3 linked regions of the Drosophila melanogaster genome follow. The protein of the gene in region 3 interacts with the protein of the main gene of each other region in a pairwise test. Each region holds a gene or a part of one and is shown on either strand. Other genes may lie near its edges.

Evidence for each region. The genes of interacting proteins can lie anywhere in the genome.
Region 1: the proteins of Mdr65 (region 3) and CG4328 interact in a two-hybrid assay, tested with the Drosophila melanogaster proteins (one large-scale study listed by BioGRID).
Region 2: the proteins of Mdr65 (region 3) and CG14369 interact in a two-hybrid assay, tested with the Drosophila melanogaster proteins (one large-scale study listed by BioGRID).

What each region holds. Positions count from the first base shown.
Region 1 is NT_037436.4:12,290,346-12,298,137, forward strand, and holds CG4328 (uncharacterized protein), read right to left. Parts: upstream 5,779-7,792; 5' UTR 5,526-5,778; coding exon 5,489-5,525; intron 2,623-5,488; coding exon 1,905-2,622; intron 1,753-1,904; coding exon 1,538-1,752; intron 1,482-1,537; coding exon 1,294-1,481; intron 1,226-1,293; coding exon 955-1,225; intron 897-954; coding exon 691-896; 3' UTR 611-690; downstream 1-610.
Region 2 is NT_033777.3:13,591,022-13,594,259, forward strand, and holds CG14369 (uncharacterized protein), read right to left. Parts: upstream 1,637-3,238; 5' UTR 1,594-1,636; coding exon 1,255-1,593; 3' UTR 611-1,254; downstream 1-610.
Region 3 is NT_037436.4:6,239,814-6,247,532, forward strand, and holds Mdr65 (multi drug resistance 65), read right to left. Parts: upstream 5,934-7,719; 5' UTR 5,817-5,933; intron 5,508-5,816; 5' UTR 5,490-5,507; coding exon 5,188-5,489; intron 4,913-5,187; coding exon 4,667-4,912; intron 4,615-4,666; coding exon 4,443-4,614; intron 4,383-4,442; coding exon 4,068-4,382; intron 4,009-4,067; coding exon 3,552-4,008; intron 3,498-3,551; coding exon 3,397-3,497; intron 3,328-3,396; coding exon 2,940-3,327; intron 2,884-2,939; coding exon 2,175-2,883; intron 2,119-2,174; coding exon 1,822-2,118; intron 1,760-1,821; coding exon 1,393-1,759; intron 1,333-1,392; coding exon 778-1,332; 3' UTR 687-777; downstream 1-686. Other genes in the region: Best2 (bestrophin 2), read right to left, coding at 6,825-7,393, 7,545-7,719.

The sequences.
Region 1 (7,792 bases), 6.1 Mb from region 3:
TTAGTAGGATAATGAAATGAATTTTCTCCTCTGCTTTCAAAAACCATATTATATTTAATATAATATAATATTGTTTTTCGGCAAAAAAGTTGTTTGTTAAAAAGCATTTTTTATAGTTTGGTTTTCTATGCCTTTGAAAGCTTAAGGATTTACCACCCAATTTGTCTTAGATTTTGGGTTTGGGACATTCCGATGCAGTTCTTCCGCTCAAGCAAAACGAAAGGCCAGGATGCTAGTTAAAAGTGCTGTCCTTGGGCGGCATTTGCAGCACATTCATGTCGACGCTATCAAACGGCTCGTCATCGTGGGGAGGATACGGTTCCGGATCCCTTCGTATCCGAGCCTTTGAACTACGCATGACGAATCGGCATTTTACGCCCATTCCGAGCCGAAAGGACGAATTCAGCAGGGTTGCGACTGCTGTGGCAAATGCTTTGTGCCTGTCAACCGAGCGGAACTAATTTCGAGACTGCACCTGCAGAGCCACCAACATGGGATGCACCAACCACCAACCCGGCCGGTGGGTGGATTGCGCAAGTGGTCCAGCTTCCAAGGGGGGTGGAAGGGCAGTAAATCCACTTATCCGGGTTCGGGGTGTTTAAGTTCGATTGCTAGCACATTAACATTCTTTTATTTTACAAGGTCTAATTTTGATTTGGGCTTAAAATTCGACGGCCTTCGCCGGGCGGACTAGTGATCCATGGAGTCCTTGACGCCGCATTCGCCGTAGGATTGCAGCTCCTCCGGCCGGAAGTAGGAGCTTTGCATACTATATAGTCGGTCGATCGGATTGATCATAGGCGTCTGGGCAAAGGGACCCATTAGTTGCTGAAAGGTGGCGTAGCTCAGACCTAGAATGGTGTTCAATATGGGCTCGCTGTTCTTGTTGCAGTTCTCTGTAAATTGTATTTTATATTCCTTGATACGTAAATATCCTTAAAGGGCATAACCCACCTTTATTGGTCTCCATACAGTTGAAGGGCACTTGCTCCTGTTCGTCCTTAATGGTGCATCGCATCCGGGTCAGTCCATCGGAGGTCGTCGAGTACGGCGATTCCAGCTGTGATTCGCTGTCGCTGTGCGCCTCGTCCTTGATTTTGGTGGCCAGACTGCTGTCCAGCGATTCCTGCGAGTCCTGCGAGTCACTAGCTCCTTTGCTGGGCGGCTCCTGCTTGGCCTTCTTCTGAATCTTTTTGACCTTGGCTCGCTGGTTCTGGAACCAAACCTACAAAATACGATATTGGTTTAATAGAATATGTAATGATTAAATTCCATTTAAACCTCTTTACGCACCTGCACAATTCTCAGGCTTAATCCAGTATCCTTGGCCAGATTCTCTCTCACTTTTCGACACGGTTTCGGTGAGACTTCGAAGGAGGCCTTAAAAGCTCGTCTTTGCTGCGTGTTTAGAATGGTTCTCGGTCGCTTGGGTCCTCTTCGTCCGTCTAATTTGGGCGGGAAAAGCTCATCGCCATAGAAATCTACATAGTTATATGGTTATCATTGGGAACCGATTTCGAATAGGGCCATTACCCACCGTATCCCTGTAGCATCTCCACCTCCTTCTCGTAGTCGAAGCGGCAGAAGAGCTGCCCCTGTTTGACCACATACTGCTCCCCCTTCTTCAGCAGAGCTCCACACACCACACAGGCGAAGCACTTTAGATGGAAGACGTTCTCGTGGCATCGCATCACCAGCTCATCGGCGGCGATTTTAAGGCCACAGCCAAGGCAATGATTGCGGATGTAGAGTCTGTGGAGCGAAAATATAAATATATATCATATCATTCAAATATTAAGCTGTACCATTTAATAAACACTACCATTTTAAAGTAAGTGCAACTCACACGGAGTTGATTGTTTTAAGCGCCCCCCGTTTGGCAGGGTTCAGTAATCAGGACTCACCTCTCGTAGTCGACGCGGCAGTAGAGTTTGCCCTCCCTCGCATAACAGGAGTGGACCAGGTGCAGCGAGCAGGCGGTGCACTTGAGGCAGCCCTCGTGGAAGGAGTTCTCCACCACGCGCATGATGTAGCGATCGCAAATGGGCTGGCAGCAGTGGGCGCACTGGCTCAGCTGCGGCGATGCCATGGCCAGGCCCAGTTCCATGCCCATGCCGGAATTGGAGGCCATTCCCAGAGGCGCTTGCGGTGTGTTGGATGCCGATGGAGGTGCTGCCGGCGTTGCAAAGCCGTCCATTCCATTGAGGCTGCACTCGCCCAAAGTGATGCGGTTGCAGTGTGTATGGTTGGGTGGTCCTGGACCATGTCCTGTTCCTGTTCCCATTCCGGTTCCTGTGCCCGGTCCCATGCCCATCGGTTGCTTGTTTATGGCCATGTTGCTGCTGCTGTTGGTGCTGCTACTGCTGCTGCTGTTGCTGCTGTTGTGGTTACTGCAACTTCCGTTGACAGTTCTGCTGACTGACGCCATTTTGTCATTGTGGGCTACTCCGGCTTTGGTACTCGCACTCCTTCCGGCTGCCACCACCACCGATGTTGCTGCTGTCGTTGGTGTTGTTAACATGCGTTCATTTCCGTTCAACAGCAGCAGTTGATTGAGGCCCCCAGTTTGCGGCAGTTGGCCAGCACCCAGTTGCTGCTGTTGACATTTTATGTCCATCGGAACTATTTTGGTTTTGCGGTCGTGTCGTTGGTCCAGATCAGCCCACCGCCCCAAAGGAACATGCAAATGAGAAACATTTCAGTTATTTTTATTTTCAATGTGGCCAAGAGCGCCCTCAATTTACAACTATGGTTCGGTCATCAGGCATAAAAAGGGTTCCCGTTTTTGCGGGCAGGACCAATGTCCATCTGCCTCGCACTGTGACCATAACCGTTTCGAGTTGTAGTAAATTTGTGGTTTTGCAATTATTGAAATGACTTTTCCACCAACGGAAAGAGTGTGAGTAAATGTGCGAGTGTGAGTGCGACTGCACTCGAAATTCCCCGAAATGCCATGCGAAATGTGGCATGTAAAAAATACGACCAACGTGGCGTATGCGTAACCGATGCGTATGTGCGATTGTTTGGCTTGGTGGCAAAAAATTACTGTACATTTGCGGTGCTGACTGGTTGGCTTTTTGTGCCTTGTTGTCTCAATTTATGGCAAATTGTTGAAATTTCAACGTAATTTGTTTCGAGCTTCCAGCTTTTGTGCTCCTCTGTGTGTGTGTGACGTTCATTTTGTTTGGTTTTTCCCTTGTTTTCACTGGTGTGCGTTTCACATGCGTGTGTGTTTGTCATTCCGCATTTGAGTGATTTAAATGTGTGCGTAATTTCATTAAATGTTTTGCAAAAATAATATCTGGTATGCCAATTTATGCCAGAAATATGCCCAGAATGTTAAAGTATTCCAGCCATCGTTTACATTAACAATTTTTGCTACACCTCTTGCACTGATTGACGTGAATTGCTCTAGACCAGCTTGCACTCAGTTTGTTCTGCCAAATGACAAATAAATGCGAAAATAGTCGATTGCAGCTCTCAGTACATTTAATTGGACTGCATTTAATTGCCATTTGGATATAGAAAAACTATGCAGAAAAATAGCTGGGAAAATGGGAATCAAATAGTGTTTTGTCAACCAATTAAGCGATTTGTAAAATAGTCAGCAAATATTTTTGTGACTTCAGTACTCTAAATGAAATTCAATATAGTTTTTGGTTGATTTATACAAAACCACCGCAATATAAAACCTGCAGAAACAATTTAGCTTTGCTCTATCTAAAAACATTTAGAAATTAAGCTGAAAACTTGTTCTTTGAATTATTTTGTAACTTTTGGCATTAGCATTATATATATTTTTTTAAAGCATTTTTTGAGTTTTCACCTTTATATACAATTCTTTTTATATATTTAATAATGAATTAAACTTCATTTATGTGTAACAAAATATTGCTGACATGTGTGCTATGTTCGTTGGGTGTATTTTGGCTTTATAAACTTTTCAATATGCTACTTATTCATAGCAACTGAAGTCTCCAGCAGTGTTTAACCCAATTTCCAAGGTCCTGATCTCCCCATTCCCGATACCCATTAACTTGTGACACTTGGAACTGCGGGAAGCTATTTCCTAAGATGTGCAGCGGAATAATCCGCTCAACAACCACACCTGTTACACTTTTAGTGCTCTGTCATTGCCATTTGACATTTGAAAATATACCAACATGTTTGCCGGACATGTCGGAGAATAGAGCTCGAGGATTTTGGGACGACAAGTGTAAAGCCGACATTGATAGCACTTCCACTTGCCCACGCTCTAATTAGATTCTAATGTGCAGTGGAAATCGAGGGACGGGTTGCAAATGCCACCCCTTGCAGTGCTCATAACTATGTAGATTATAAACGAATTTCAATGAATCCGGGGGCTAACCGAGGGCATTTAGCTGGCGGATTTCCACCCTTACGGAAAATATGCTCGGGCTTAGCAAATAAGCATGAGGATGAGGCTGGAGGGGATCAGGATTTCGGTTACGGCGGCTGGCGGCTGGCTGCTGGCGGCATATGTTGGCAGTCGACGACAGTGAGTGGGTAAGCGGAAACCCTTGGAAATGCTTGCCAGGATGTCGGCTGCGCTGCCAGGATGCTGTGTGCTGCCTCCGAATCCGCTGTCAGTTGCCAGCAGTTCGCTCGGCAGCAACTGACAGCGCTTTATTTAATCGGATTTGAGTAGACAATAGAGTTATGGTGCCATTGCCGTTTTGTTGTGCCAGCAATCGCAGCGCAAATGCTTTGTTTTGTCCTAATCTCTGACAGAAGTCAAAATTTGCTTTGCTCTGGAAAATATGTTGTAATTTTCATTGGCTTTCAGCCAGTCGGATTCGAGTGGACGTGTGTGCAGTCGGTCATATGCATACTTGCCACTCTGGGTGCTAAATAGCATTCACTGAAGGCAAATTGAAGCAAAAGTGTTGAGATGCAATGTTTAAACTTGGGATTTGCTTTGTGCGAAGTAGAATTTAGCAAGAAAATGGCAAATTTTCACAAATAATTCATCTTTGGTTTCTAATAATTTCATGTGCAAAACTTATTTATGCTGCTATTAAGTTAGTATTTTTAAAACCAATTCAACTGAATAAAATTTGTATAAAATGTGCTGATCTCTTTGACTGTTATAAATCAAAATCACTAATGGCCAAAACGAAAATCCACTTTATACCTTTGAAAAGTGTGCAATTGTGATATCACAATTACCGATATAACACATGATACATGGTGGCTTATTCCTAATTCACTTATCTAAAGGTATTTGATTTGAGCTAATCACTTGATGCTAATATTTAAACTATGATTAAACTAGAGAAAAAGTGAATGAAATATATGCACTCTTCTACTTGAAGCTATTTACATACCATAAATTAATGAGCACTTTTTAACATAATTAATAAACTGATAGAAAAATGCCGACGGGATTGGGAATGTTGGGCTTGTAATGCCGTCGGTTATTGGAATAGATTCAGACTTCATATTCCTCGGGTTTGCCCATACTTACACATTCCGATCTGCATGGGATGGTGTTCGTCGATCATTTTGGAATCGTTCAGTTCGGGAATAGAAAAACTATATAATCACGTTCACAGACATTTATGAAATTTTCTCAGGGCTTTTCACGCGATTTTCCTACGTATCTTTGCACATTTTGTGAGCACAGCTTTCAGGACGCCTAAGGACACATTTGGGGACTCGAAATGCAGTTGGCAACTGTTGTTTTGGGGCGGCCAGTATCGGACTTCTGACCTGGCCCTGTTACGAAACGCGATGCTTGAATGATTACGGACCTCTGATGTTAATGAAATTTGTTAAAAATCATTTGCTCTTCTTTGGCCAAATGCACAAGCATCTGCTGCCGAGATAGGAAATTCTCTCCAACCCGAAGGAGAAGTGCCCACTGTTTGCCTTTGTGTGTGTGTGCGTGTGCGCCATTTTATGGCACATCCTGTGCTCCCATATCCTTTTTGGCTCCATCCCCGTGCAAGCCATTGAGAGCCAGCCATTTGCCTTTCCCCAGCTTCCGTGAGATTCGCCAGCTTTTGGCGCATGCGTCGATCGGAACCCCCATATCATACCATCTCATCTCATCTCATGCGTTTTAATGCCGATTTTGAATCCGGGTGGCGCTTCTGAGTTGTTTTGGCTTTTTGTGTTTTGCTGGTTTTGTTGTTGTTGTTGTTGTTTGATTTTTCATTTTGCACTTTTGACTTTTGTCTTTGTCTTTGCTCGTGGGCACATTTATTTGTTTTGTTGTACGTACGTATTTTGTATTGACAAAAGGATGTTTGGCTCGGCGATTTCTTGCTTGCTTTGTCGCCTCAGCAACAACATCCCCGCCCCCCCAAAAAAAAACAGGACTCTCCCTCAATGGCTGGAATTTTGTTGTCCTTCTTTTCTTATTTTTATTTTTACCGTGTGTGTGTGTGTTTGTGAGCTGGCTAGGATTTTATTCCCTTTTCCCGCAGTGGCTTGTACATTTTAAATTTATTGATTTTCGAACGCTATAAAAAGGACTAAGCTTAAAGACCAGTCCCGCTGCTTTAATTAAGGTTTGCGGCCCAGTGTCCAGGAGAATTTTGCTCAAAGAGCTAGCTGTTAATGAGGGTGGCCGGTGGCCCTTTAAACCTGGCCAAAATGAATTTTCTGGTCTATTAAACCGGGGCGCCAAAAACTTTAATGTCTAAGCACTTTGCCGGCTGACTGTATGTCTAGCTTCCAGTTCAGAGTTCCCAGTACCCAGTTGCCGAGATGAGGACTTGTCTGGTCGAAACTCCTGGCTCTTGGCCTCTTTTCCGACGAAAATTCCCAGAAAAGTTTCGTAAACGCGAACGTGTTACTCACAATTAGTGTGCGGGCGAACCATTTAACTGGCAACCAACCAGCCATCTTTCGCTTTCCCAGCCCACTTTTCCCAACTCCGACGATGATAATAGTTATGTGCGGTAATCTTTGCGATTCATAATCAGTACACGGAGCACGGGGATGTGCAGGGAATTTAAAGGACAATGGAGCTACATTAAATGCTTGATCCTGGGGGATTTTGCGATGGGTACTTCTTTTGTTGTGCTTCTTTTATATCAGGTAGGAAACATGTAATTTCTTAATAAAGGAGTGACAATAAATGTTGGCATTTGTTTAACTAAGTGCCAAAAACAATTGCTAAGTAATGCAAGATTTAAAAATACATTTTTATAAAAAATTGTAAGATCATTTAAACTGTATTGTGTAATTCATAATAATTTATTTTGTAATTATTAATAATTGTTATTTTGTTTAATTTGTTCATTTACTAACTGTTAACCTTATATATTTTTAGTTGGCACCTTAAACGATATCTATGTGTATTATGTTAAATCTTATAAATAATATTTATTGAACAATATTCTAAGAAATCTATATTTGTAGCTGATGATGATGAGTAATTGTTGCAGTTCTGTTGTGATGTTGTGATTTTGAAATTTTCATATACATTTCTCTCTCCTCCCTTCAGCTTCATCTCGCAAAGGCTTCCAAACTTTTGGCACTTTGTCTACGCAGAGCCTAGACATGGAAACTCAAGGGCGGCGGTTTTGGAGGCACCACCGCCTCCATCCCTGCATCCATCCATCTATTCCTCCATCCATCCCGAAATCCCGATGTCATCGCCTGTGAGGGGCCTTTAGATCGCATACCACTCGACACTTGCAGTTGGGCCCTGCTAATGACAAAGATTAATTTGGGTCACTGTGTTTCCGACGGCATTCCGATATTGGGGCCATTTGCGAGGGATCCGGTTGAATTGACTGAACAATGGGGGTCAGAGGGC
Region 2 (3,238 bases), on a different chromosome or scaffold from region 3:
GAAGATTTTAAATATCCGTCCATGTATGACCAAAAAAATAAATCAATTTAGTTTTATATAATTATATATGGATACAATTATTTCAATTCGCCCACTAATTAATACTTCTATCATTTTTAACATTTAGCAGGCAATATAAAAATGCATTTCCATTGAGTTTGTGAGACTGTTAAGGCAAAAATCACCATTGCTGTTACAGCAGTCCTGTTGAATCGATAATTAATTTTTAATGATTTACAACGTGACAACTGCTTGTATAACGATAATTCAATATTATAGCAGATCAACTATCAAAACTGAAACATTTTCCGCTGCGCTCTCTTCAACAATTCACAAACCGAATGCGTTCATCTGATCCCATTGGGAGTGAAGTTCATAAAAAGGGCATAAATTATGTAAATTGATTAAAAAATTGAGCATACCTCGGCAATAAAATGATTATAAATCTGAATGAATAAACAATAGCCACTTGCGAAACTGCAACAACTGCAGGACAGCACTTATAATAGAGTAACAATTTACAACTGCCGGTGGAGTGGCAATTGAAACTAAGACCGTTGAGGAATGTATTTTATTTGATTTGGCTGGTTCCCTTCTTTGGTTGGTTGTTATTGTTGTGCGTTTAATGAATTTTATTGATTGCAAATACAAAATAAGAACAGCATCACGTAAATGGAAACCATTTACAGCTTAAAAATATTTAATTACCAACCGCCCATTGCCCACCGCGCCGATTGGGCAGCGGATTTTCGATGGGTTGTTGTGGGGTTCGAAATGTTTCAGGTCTTGCCACCAAATTGCAATTAATCTTCTTTTAACAGCAAACTTTTGATCCGCTTTATTTGCATTTCGCTGCGGCCCCACAACAACAACAGCAGCAACAAATAAGGTGGTCCCACGGAGGGAAAATAACGAAAATGCTTGTCATAAAAAATTATCAAGGGTTAAAAATTATGTTACGCGTTTCATTTTGGTCGCTGCGAAATGATTTATGCAAAATCTGTGCAAAATGAATATAAATTGTGCAATTTCATGTTCTTCATTTTTTTTTTATACGCGCCCCACCTCTTCAACTTAGCTCAACTTTTTCCCTGTGTCCGGCAAATTAATTTAAAAGCACCAACAATAAGTAAAATAACAAACTGCGAAAGGGTCGACGCCGCTCCTTCCTGGCCATTATTTATAATCTCACATTGAAAAGGGGTTCTCTAATCGATTTTTCGCTCTGTCTTTTCGTTCTCTCACAAATCTGCATTAACCGATGATAATTTTCTGATAGCCCAGGTAGCCGGGATAGTAGCCACTGCCATAACCATAATAGCCAGGCGATGGTGAGCCATAGTAGTTGTACGGATAGCCAGGATATGCCCAAGAATAGCCACTGGCCCAGTTGAGGAACGGCAATCCGCCGATGCTGCCGCTGAAGAAGATGCCACGCCTTCGACGAACCGGAAGCAGATTTCGCTGCGAATCCGCAGCGCCGCCAATTTCCTGCTCCAATGACAGCAAATCCGTTTTTACATAGCCAACTGGTGCCACATCCTTGTCAACAGCCGACGCGCCACTCAAGTGCGTGCCCAGCAGCAAAATCATCGCCAGAGGCAGCAACAGCAATCGCAATTGCAATGGCAATGGCATATTTAATTATTTAATTTAACGATGAAAATATGATATTTATATTTAATTCAATCGACAAACCGCGTCAATGATTTCCACACAACTGCCAGTCAAAGAGCCGCCGCTGTTTCCTATTTATATGTAGAGTGAGTACTTCGATTGAATTTAATGCCAACACCATTGGCGTTTGTTTTTAAATTTAAAGCTCGCTAATTGAAGCCAATGCTAATGCCTTCATTCAGAACGCCCGCAAAAAATTGGTGGCCAATAAAAAGCAGTACAAGAGCTGAAGACAAAAAAAAGGTTCTAACAAATGTGACGTATTAGTCGAGCCAATCAATGTGGTATAGAATCATAGGAACTCAAAACAGCAGATGCAATGAAGATTGGATACCCTAATGTTATTTATTTTAATATAAATAAAGATACTGCTAATAGATTTATTAACATTAAATTATGCAGAACTTTTTTTCTATAGCTATGTTTTCCCAACTTTAAATGAAAAACCAAGCACATTATTTTCAATGCGATAGGTGTTCGTTTTTAAGTATCTTAATTGGAGGCAATTAAAATTTGTTTATAAAAAATTCAGGAGCAGTCAAAACACGATTGCAAAAAGTCATATGAAATAAAGCCGGGAAAATTGTATAACTCAATCAATACGAACACGATACTTTCATGTTGCTGTTTTATGTGAAAGGTGCAATTTTAAAACGAATTTTTAGGATTATGTAACCTATTTAACCTACTCGAACCGAGAAAAATCATTTAATGTGGCTTTGTGGCTTGACCAGGGACTCACAACACCCTCTCGAAGCTTATACCTAAATCGCTTTATGAACCAAATTATGAAGGCTTGACAGCATTTGTCTGATGCTCGTCGCAAATACCCTCACTACTGCCATTCCGACCGAACACCACCCAATACCACTCATTTGCCGCCCGACAAAAGTGCCAGACCTTGTGTCCCTTTTCACACATTACGCATACGCCACGTTGTTGCGTTCTTTCATTGCGTTGCGTTCGCTTTGCTAGCTCGTTGGCTGCCAATTGACACATTTCATGTTCAGATATGCGTAAATAACAATTATTGTAATTTTTCAAAGCGCTCGTTGCGAGACAAAGCGCAGACTTGTGACAATTCAGCGATAATACATAAAAGCGTAACCTTAACCGACAGCGTGTAAACCTTGAACTTGAGTGACATGGGCAAAAAGGGCGCCAAATATTTTTTTTTTTTCTTTCTTTTTTTTCTCTTACCCTCTTTTGTGTACAATGTTCCTGGCTGCCGTTGTACTCCTCACCCCTATACTACAATATATAAATATGTGCCGATTTGCCCATGTCGGCGTGAACATACAACCACATATGTGTTTGCCAATGTGTCAACATTTTAGATTGCCTTGCATGATTTGCAAGAAAAATGAAGACAATAGTTGAGTTTTACACTCTCCACTCAACAAATTCAGCAGAAACAACAGCAACACGAGGGCCAAGTACCGCTGTCAGCATGTCACGCGATTTGTTGCCTCCGAACGAGTATGAAATGAATATATTTGTTATAAAAGAAAGTCATGGCCCGCTGTTTGTGGGTGTCACCGGGTACTTTTTATCCCCGATT
Region 3 (7,719 bases):
GCTACGCCAGATGCACTGCCGATGAGGCTGATCTGCCTGGGATCGTGTTTAGCTTTAATTGTTTTGCATTCCGCGTTTTCACAAATACAAAATCGTTGGCTACTACAGCCAGCTTTTTTCTTTCTTTCTTGCGATGCTATTGCTATCCGGAGCAAAATGTTCCACGTCTGTTCCGTTGGGACTGTAGAAAGCGACTGACGGTTCTGGCGGCTATGGCGTCAGTTTTCGACAAATTCGGTTTCTATTAGAGAAGCGAACCCCTTTATGGTCTTTTTTATTAATATCAATTGAATTGATTTTTCTCAAGGTTCACGATGACTGGTGGAAAATCGTAGACCATCTTACCTCTTGGCAAGGTGTGCACCCATCTATCGCGGAAATGGGTCAACTGAGTACTGAAATTTGGCGTAATTTGCATTCCAGGCAGTTAAACTTATGATCTTCCCTGTTTAATTGCGAACTGTTATCATTTCACAACGGCAAATCAAGTTTGCATGCCATTGACAATGAATACAAACAACAGTCGTGTGGGTGCTTGGCGTTATAGACATGCCGCAAAGATTGCACTCTTATCAGTTAGATAAGTTTGATGGTGGATCTTACAACTTATAGCCCTAATAATTATACACATTGCAAACAGAGTTACCTAAAACTCATCTCCGCCCATTATTTATAAACAAGTCTTTAATGGATAAAAAGTTGATGGAGTTTATTTAGTTTTTGGTGGCAAGTGTATTTTGGCTTTTGGTGAGATTTATATAAATGTTTAGATAATATTCAATGATCCTTTTGGGTCTTGTGTAGCTTGGCGTAAATGCCGCCCTGTGAAATCAACTGCATGTGGTTACCCTGCTCCACCACCTGACCATTTTGAATCACACAGATCACATCGGCATTCTGGACAGTTGACAATCGATGGGCTATGACAATACAGGTGCGTCCCGAGCAGGCGGTATCCAAGGCCTGTTGGACCAACTGTTCGCTTTGCAAGTCCAAAGCTGAGGTGGCTTCGTCGAGTAGCAGGATCTTGGGATTCCTCACCAGCGCTCTGGCAATGGCGATTCGCTGTTTCTGTCCACCAGATAGCTGAGTACCTCTGGCTCCCATCCGAGTATCATAGCCATTTGGTAGAGAAATGATAAAACTATGAGCATTGGCACTCTTGGCTGCTGCAATAATCTCCACCATGGAAACAGATCGCCGATTGTCGCCATAGGCTATATTTTCGGCTATAGAGCGCTCGAAGAGAGTGGGTTCTTGAGAGACTATGCCCAATTTGGTCCTTACTCCATCGAGGGTCAGATCGTGTTGGATATCATCGTGATCTATATGCTGTATGAAGAGTGGATTACGTTTGATATACATAGCGGCAATATTTGTTTAATGGCTTACAATAGTGCCCTCATCGGGATCATAGTAACGCTGAAGTAGCTGAACGCAAGTGGATTTTCCACACCCGGAATGACCCACCAAGGCCACCGTTTGACCCTTGAGCACCTCAAGATCCAAGCCATTCAGAATCTTTGCATCAGGTCGTGTAGGGTACCGGAATTGAATACCTCGATAGCGCACACCCTCGAAAAGATTTAATTGCTTGGCGAGAGTATTTTTAATGGTGCCCATGGGTGACTGAATCTTTGGCTTGCGATCCAGTATTTGGAATAGGCGATGACCCGCGATCAGAGCGGCGGAGAAGGCCGGCGTAAAGGCTAGAGATTGAGCGAGCATCATGGAACCATACAGCAATGTTTCTGATACCCTACAAATATTATTTAAAATGGTTAATTGCTTCAAGATTGAATTCTATATGGATTTCCATACTTGATAATATCTTGGAATGGCAGCTGACCCTCGGACACCAAAACACCTCCGTAACAAAGAGCCACTGCATACGCGAAGAAAGCTGATGCCTGCATGGTGGAGTTGAGGACTCCTCGCCATCTAAGCTTCTGGCGGATGAGCACCTCCACCCGCTGGATCTCCTCTGTGTACTCCCGGATAACATCCGCCTCCCTTCGCAGACCGGCAACAGTGCGTATGTTGGTAATGGATTCGGTGGCAATGCGACAGGCTTCCTCAATCACCTGCTTTTCCCTCACTACAGCGTTAGACATCATCCTGAAATAATCGTAGTCGTAAGAAAAAGAAGTATAATCTCTAACATTTTAACTCACTTAGCTTCTAGGATTACAGATCCCACTATAATGGGACAATTGGCCAAACATAAAAGGGCCAACTTCCAGTTGTAGTACATGGCTACGCTGACACTTGAAATGAAGTTGGACAACGCTTGAATCATGCCACTCAAGGGATATCCTATGGCTCCTTGGATATCAACTGCCTCGCCGGATAAGCGAGCGGATAGAGCTCCCACCGAGTTATTCTCGTCGTCGAACCATCCAACTTCCTGATTCACCATCGCATTGAAGGTCATGGCTCGCATTCTGGTGGTAAGCCAAATGCCCGCGTAGTTAAACAAATAGGTCTGAAGGAAGCAAACCAATCCGGTCAAGAATGCCAGGCCCAAGCAGGCCCAGGATAGAACAGCAGTACGACGCAGTGCGTCCTCCGGATCCTTTTCAGCCAAAGCAGCATAGAATTCTCCGAAGATGACCGCGAAAGCTGGATACAAAAATCCCACTGCTACAGCACTTATAGTTCCAAGAATCAGGTAGCACCATTCCTGTTTGGCAAGCTGAAGGATCCTAGAGAAAGTGCGGAAGAAGTTCGGTTTCTCCGGCGGAGCCTCAGCTGACTGGGCATTTGTATCCTTGATGAGTGCCTTTATTATAGGTTCCTCAAACTGGACACTGTTCTTTTGACCTTTCTCGAAGTTTAATGGACTCGTCTCAAAGGATTTCTCAAACAGAGCCAGGCTTTTTTCTAAAAAGTATTAAAAATTTAATTCGCTTTAATTACTTTAAACAAGTATTAATTACGTTTGGTGTCCTCAATGCTGTCCTCTTTTTCTACCTCATCGGGCATGTTGATATCGCCGGCACGAACCATGTTGTAGTATGCACCTTCCAGCGCCATTAAATCATCATGGGAACCTTCCTCCAGAACCTTACCATCATGAATAAAGACAATCTTATCTGCACCTCGAATAGCTGACAATCGATGAGAGACCACAATGGTTGTACGACCTTTACTGGCCAAGTCCAAGGCCTGTTGAACCTGTTTCTCGGATTGGTAATCCAGTGCAGAGGTGGCTTCATCCAGCAGCAGGATCTTCGGATTCTGGATAAGGGCTCGAGCGATGGCTATGCGTTGTTTCTGACCTCCAGAGAGCTGGGATCCCCGCTCTCCAATCATACTGCGATAACTCTATAAATTTTAGATGGGGAATTATTTTTTTTTGCTTAGAGATCTTTTCTATCTAATCTTGTATCTAACCTCTGGCAGATTGGTAATGAATTCATGTGCACCCGCCTGAGTGGCAGCTGCTTCGATCTCTTTTTGCGTGGCTCCTGGCTTACCATAGCTAATGTTTTGAGCTGTTAAAGAAATATTATTATAAGCTTTATAATTTTGGGTTTGTATGCACATACCTATTGTGCCCAAAAATAGCACTGGTTCCTGACCCACAACGGCAATATTCGATCTCAACCATTGGATATTGTACTTTCTTATGTCCAAATCATCCAAAAGAACTGATCCAAACACAGGATCGTAGAACCTCTGCAGCAATTGGACACAGGTGGACTTTCCACAGCCAGAAGAACCAACCAAGGCCACTGTTTGACCAGCTCTAATCCTAATGTTTAGGCCCCTGTGTACAATCACCTCCGGACGAGAGGGATATCGAAAGAAGACATCCTGGAACTCCACATCACCACGTAGGCCGTAGTTCAAAAGTTTACCGTCTGTAGATAGGGGATCGATCTTGGATGTCAGATCGATGACCTTGAAGAGGTTGGTGGCACAGCCGCGTGCGGTGGCAAAAGACTCCAGGAAAGGAGCTGTTCTGGCTATGTTGTCCGCACCAACAATGATACCAAAGAAGGCCTGGAAAAATTGCCAACTATAATATTTTTATAATAATATTATTCCCTTTTATAGCTTACAATCATCAGAATAGCCGGTGTATACTCCTTGTTTTCCACATTTCGATCATCGATAATAAGATTGACACCATACCAAAATGCTCCGGCGCATGACAGATACAACATGGACTTCAAAACCGCATCGCTGAGCCCCGAGAAGGCTCCTTTCCATTGACTTGCCTTTCGAGCTGGGACCAAGAAATTCTCATAGCGCTGCACCTCTGATTTTTCTCCACCAAACGAGACCACAGTGCGTATGGAACTCAGAATTTCCTCTGCCAAATTTCCAGCTCCCGCATAGGATTCTTGTTCTCGGGCAGTCAGCTTGCCTTGAAACTAAAAAAGATAGTTATAAACTCTAAATTATTCATCCGGTATATATATCCCTTTTCTTACCTTAGCTACGTAATAATTTAATAAGATCACCAGAGGTATATAAGAGCTCACAGCTAAGGTAAGTTTCCAGCCGTAGCTAAATGAAATGGCCACAGTTATGATAAATCCAACTACAAGGTATACAAAGTGACCAACTTTCTCTGAGATGCCATCTCGAATCTTTTCCACGTCGCTGAAAACAAGATTTAGATAGTATCATCGCTATATCCTTCTTAAATACTTACTCCACCATGCTTTGGGTAAAGTTTTGCTTGCTGGCCAGATCATGCCAACCGATGTCTTGACGAATCACGGATGAAAACAGTTTTATTCGCATCCTTGTGACCTGACGCAGCGCCACCATATTGAAGACATCCACAGAGAAAATTCCTGAGATGAACATCACCACGGATGCAATGGTCAGAAGAATTCCATACGATATGGAATCATCGTATAAGGCTTCATTGTTTTCCTCCCGAGAGGCATTTGTTCTGGAAGTTTATTAAATTAGTAAAAAAAGTATGATTATAAATAACGTAATTTAATAACCCTATATTTTTAAAATTAAATCAAAAATTCTTTTTTAGTACATTTTTCAAGAAGCTTTTATGTAATGGCGTAATTGATAATAAATCAATTGGTCAATGAACTTACTTTTTTATTGGCCCACCCTGCGTATGAGTGATATATTATAAAGTCATGATTTTCCAAACAGTTCCCCTTCTACAGTTTTCTTATGATCATATTTACTTTTGTGAGTACTTACAGTGTTTTACCACCTCCGAAAAGTGGCAGGGCATGAACATTTGAACTGGTGCCAAACTGCATGGCGCGGTCCACCAACATGGACGTGAACTCACTGTAGATAATGACCACGGCAGGAAGGGTCAGTGCCTTAATGCAGCACATTATGAAGCCGAAGAACAGCCAGCCAATCTCCCCGTAGGTGGAGAATCGAAAAAGTTTCAGGAATGCAATAGGCTCTGTGGGCTCCAAACCCTCCGCCATGGGCGCCTCCTCCTGTGATTTGCCCTCGCTGCTCGAGGTGGACACCTCATCTCGCTCCATGGTGATGTTTAGTCGGCACTGACGAAATGACAATTAAATGGGCTTTATTAAACAATACGCCATCGATCCGTGGTCAATATTTCTTCACTCAAAGCGGCCACAAGTTCGAACCAGACCAGACAAAAGGTTAATTTAATTAAGTAACACTCTGCGTTCGCATGCAAGTTTGTTTCTTTGGCCACATAGTTGTGATTGACCCGCGAGGTTAACGAGTAATAGAACATATATTATTGGACACATTCCTTCACAAATTGAAGAGCAACTATTTACATTCTTCTTCTGCAGTCTAAAATCGGTTCCTTTGCATATTTTTTGCGGTATATTCACCTTTTAATTGCCACTTTTTGATAGATCCTTCAATTATTCGCACTTGCTTCAGATAAAAGTTAAATATTGTCCGCAGATTGTAACCGCTTGAGCGCCCAAGCGCGACTGACTTCCCATCTTCCATGAGCATCCATTTAAATTTGCTGCGTACATATATCGCACCGTTCGGGTTCAAATTCTAATTGACCTTTCTCTTGGGGTAGGTTCGAAGAGACTTGATTGATCAAGGAAAGAGTGTCAGTGGGAAATGTCGTCAAATACTCCGCACTGTCTCTTATATAAACAAAAAAGATAGATTGAAGTCTGCTTTGCTAAGTGATGGATTTTATTTCAAGGTATAACTATAAGAAGTGATTTCTTCATCTGTACAAAGGACACATTTGCATACATTTTCTACATTCACATGCAGCGGATTATAATTACAGCATACAAACTTAGGCACTTATTTATCTGTACTTGTAAAGATACAAAATCTAGCTGGATAACAATCGCATATCACATACTGTGTTGGTTTACAAGTATTTACACTGCCTACACGAGATAGAGATTCATTAAAAAGTTATTCAAAGATTCAAACGCTTAGCTTATATGGCAAGTGCCAAAACAATAAGTCAATTTCCTATTAACTAAGATAGTTATATACAATGCTATTCGCAGTTCCACGCGTTTCGTAATATTTGTTCAATATTTACTAGAATTTTCTTGAGCTGGTCTTATGAAGTAAAAAGGGTTTGAAGAAATTGGAATTATTAAATTTTAGTTAAACATTTAAATTGAATTTAAGTTAAACTCGATATGAGACTATCTGATCTGCTGCTTGAATTGCTAATAAAAAAGTGATTACTTGACTTCGAGGATAAAATCCTTGCAATAATCTTTCTTTTTCAGGCTACTAATAATATCATTTTTAGTGGTTCTGGGTGGCACAATGCCATTGCATCTTAAACCTAATTACGTGGCTCGAATTCCGATCAAGTCTTAACTAATCTAATCCGACTGATAATAATGTCAGACGTACACCTCTCCGGTCTTTTGTTCCGGCTTGTGTTTGGCCAGAGTTGAGGGGGCCGAGGATCCTCCGACTTCGCCCGTTTCCAGGCCTCCGCTCCTCTGAGGAATTGGCATCGTGCCTGAGTTGTCCACTGTGCCCGTGGGACCCGCTGACCTCATCGAGGATCGTTGCTGCGGATCCTGCAGATTGAGGCTCAGGTTGAAACTGTTGTTTCGCGAAATGTTCTGGTTTCCATTGAGGGGCTTAACGGACAGCAGTGCCGTAGTGGTGATACCGCCATTGCCATTGCTCGACCCACTGTTGCTATATCCATCCTGGACATCTGCACCGGTCAGCTCCACAATGGAAAGTGCTGACGGCGATCGCTGGATGGACAAGGACACCGGTATCGTGGTGATCACATCGTTAGGATCGTAGCCACTTGCCGTCGTCGTTATCGTGGGCAGCTGGGCATTCGCCGAAATGGGCAGGATGCTCAGTGTCCCAGTGGGCATCGTTTCCCCACCGGTGCTGGTCACGCTGAAGGGGAACGACAGAGTGGTGATGTTTGTGGCAGCTGGAATACCTGCAGGTTATCAGAGGAAACAATAAGTGAGAAAAGAATATAAATATTTAATCCATTAAGCTTTTAATATCCTCTTAAGAGTATGTATTGAACTCATCATTAACTATTCAGAGGCATTAAAAACTTCTAGATCTTGGATATTTCCACTTACTGCTCGGCGTGAATCCCTCCTTCATGCTGGCTGCCAAAGCTGCGGTAGCCGGATGACCTGGAATCAGAGTGTTATTGGACGATGAGCTATCCATCTCTTTGATGGGCGAGAGCAGCAGCGTGCCCAGCACCTGACCGCTCTCCTGGTGCAGTAGTGTGTCGGGTGCGTAAGAGGA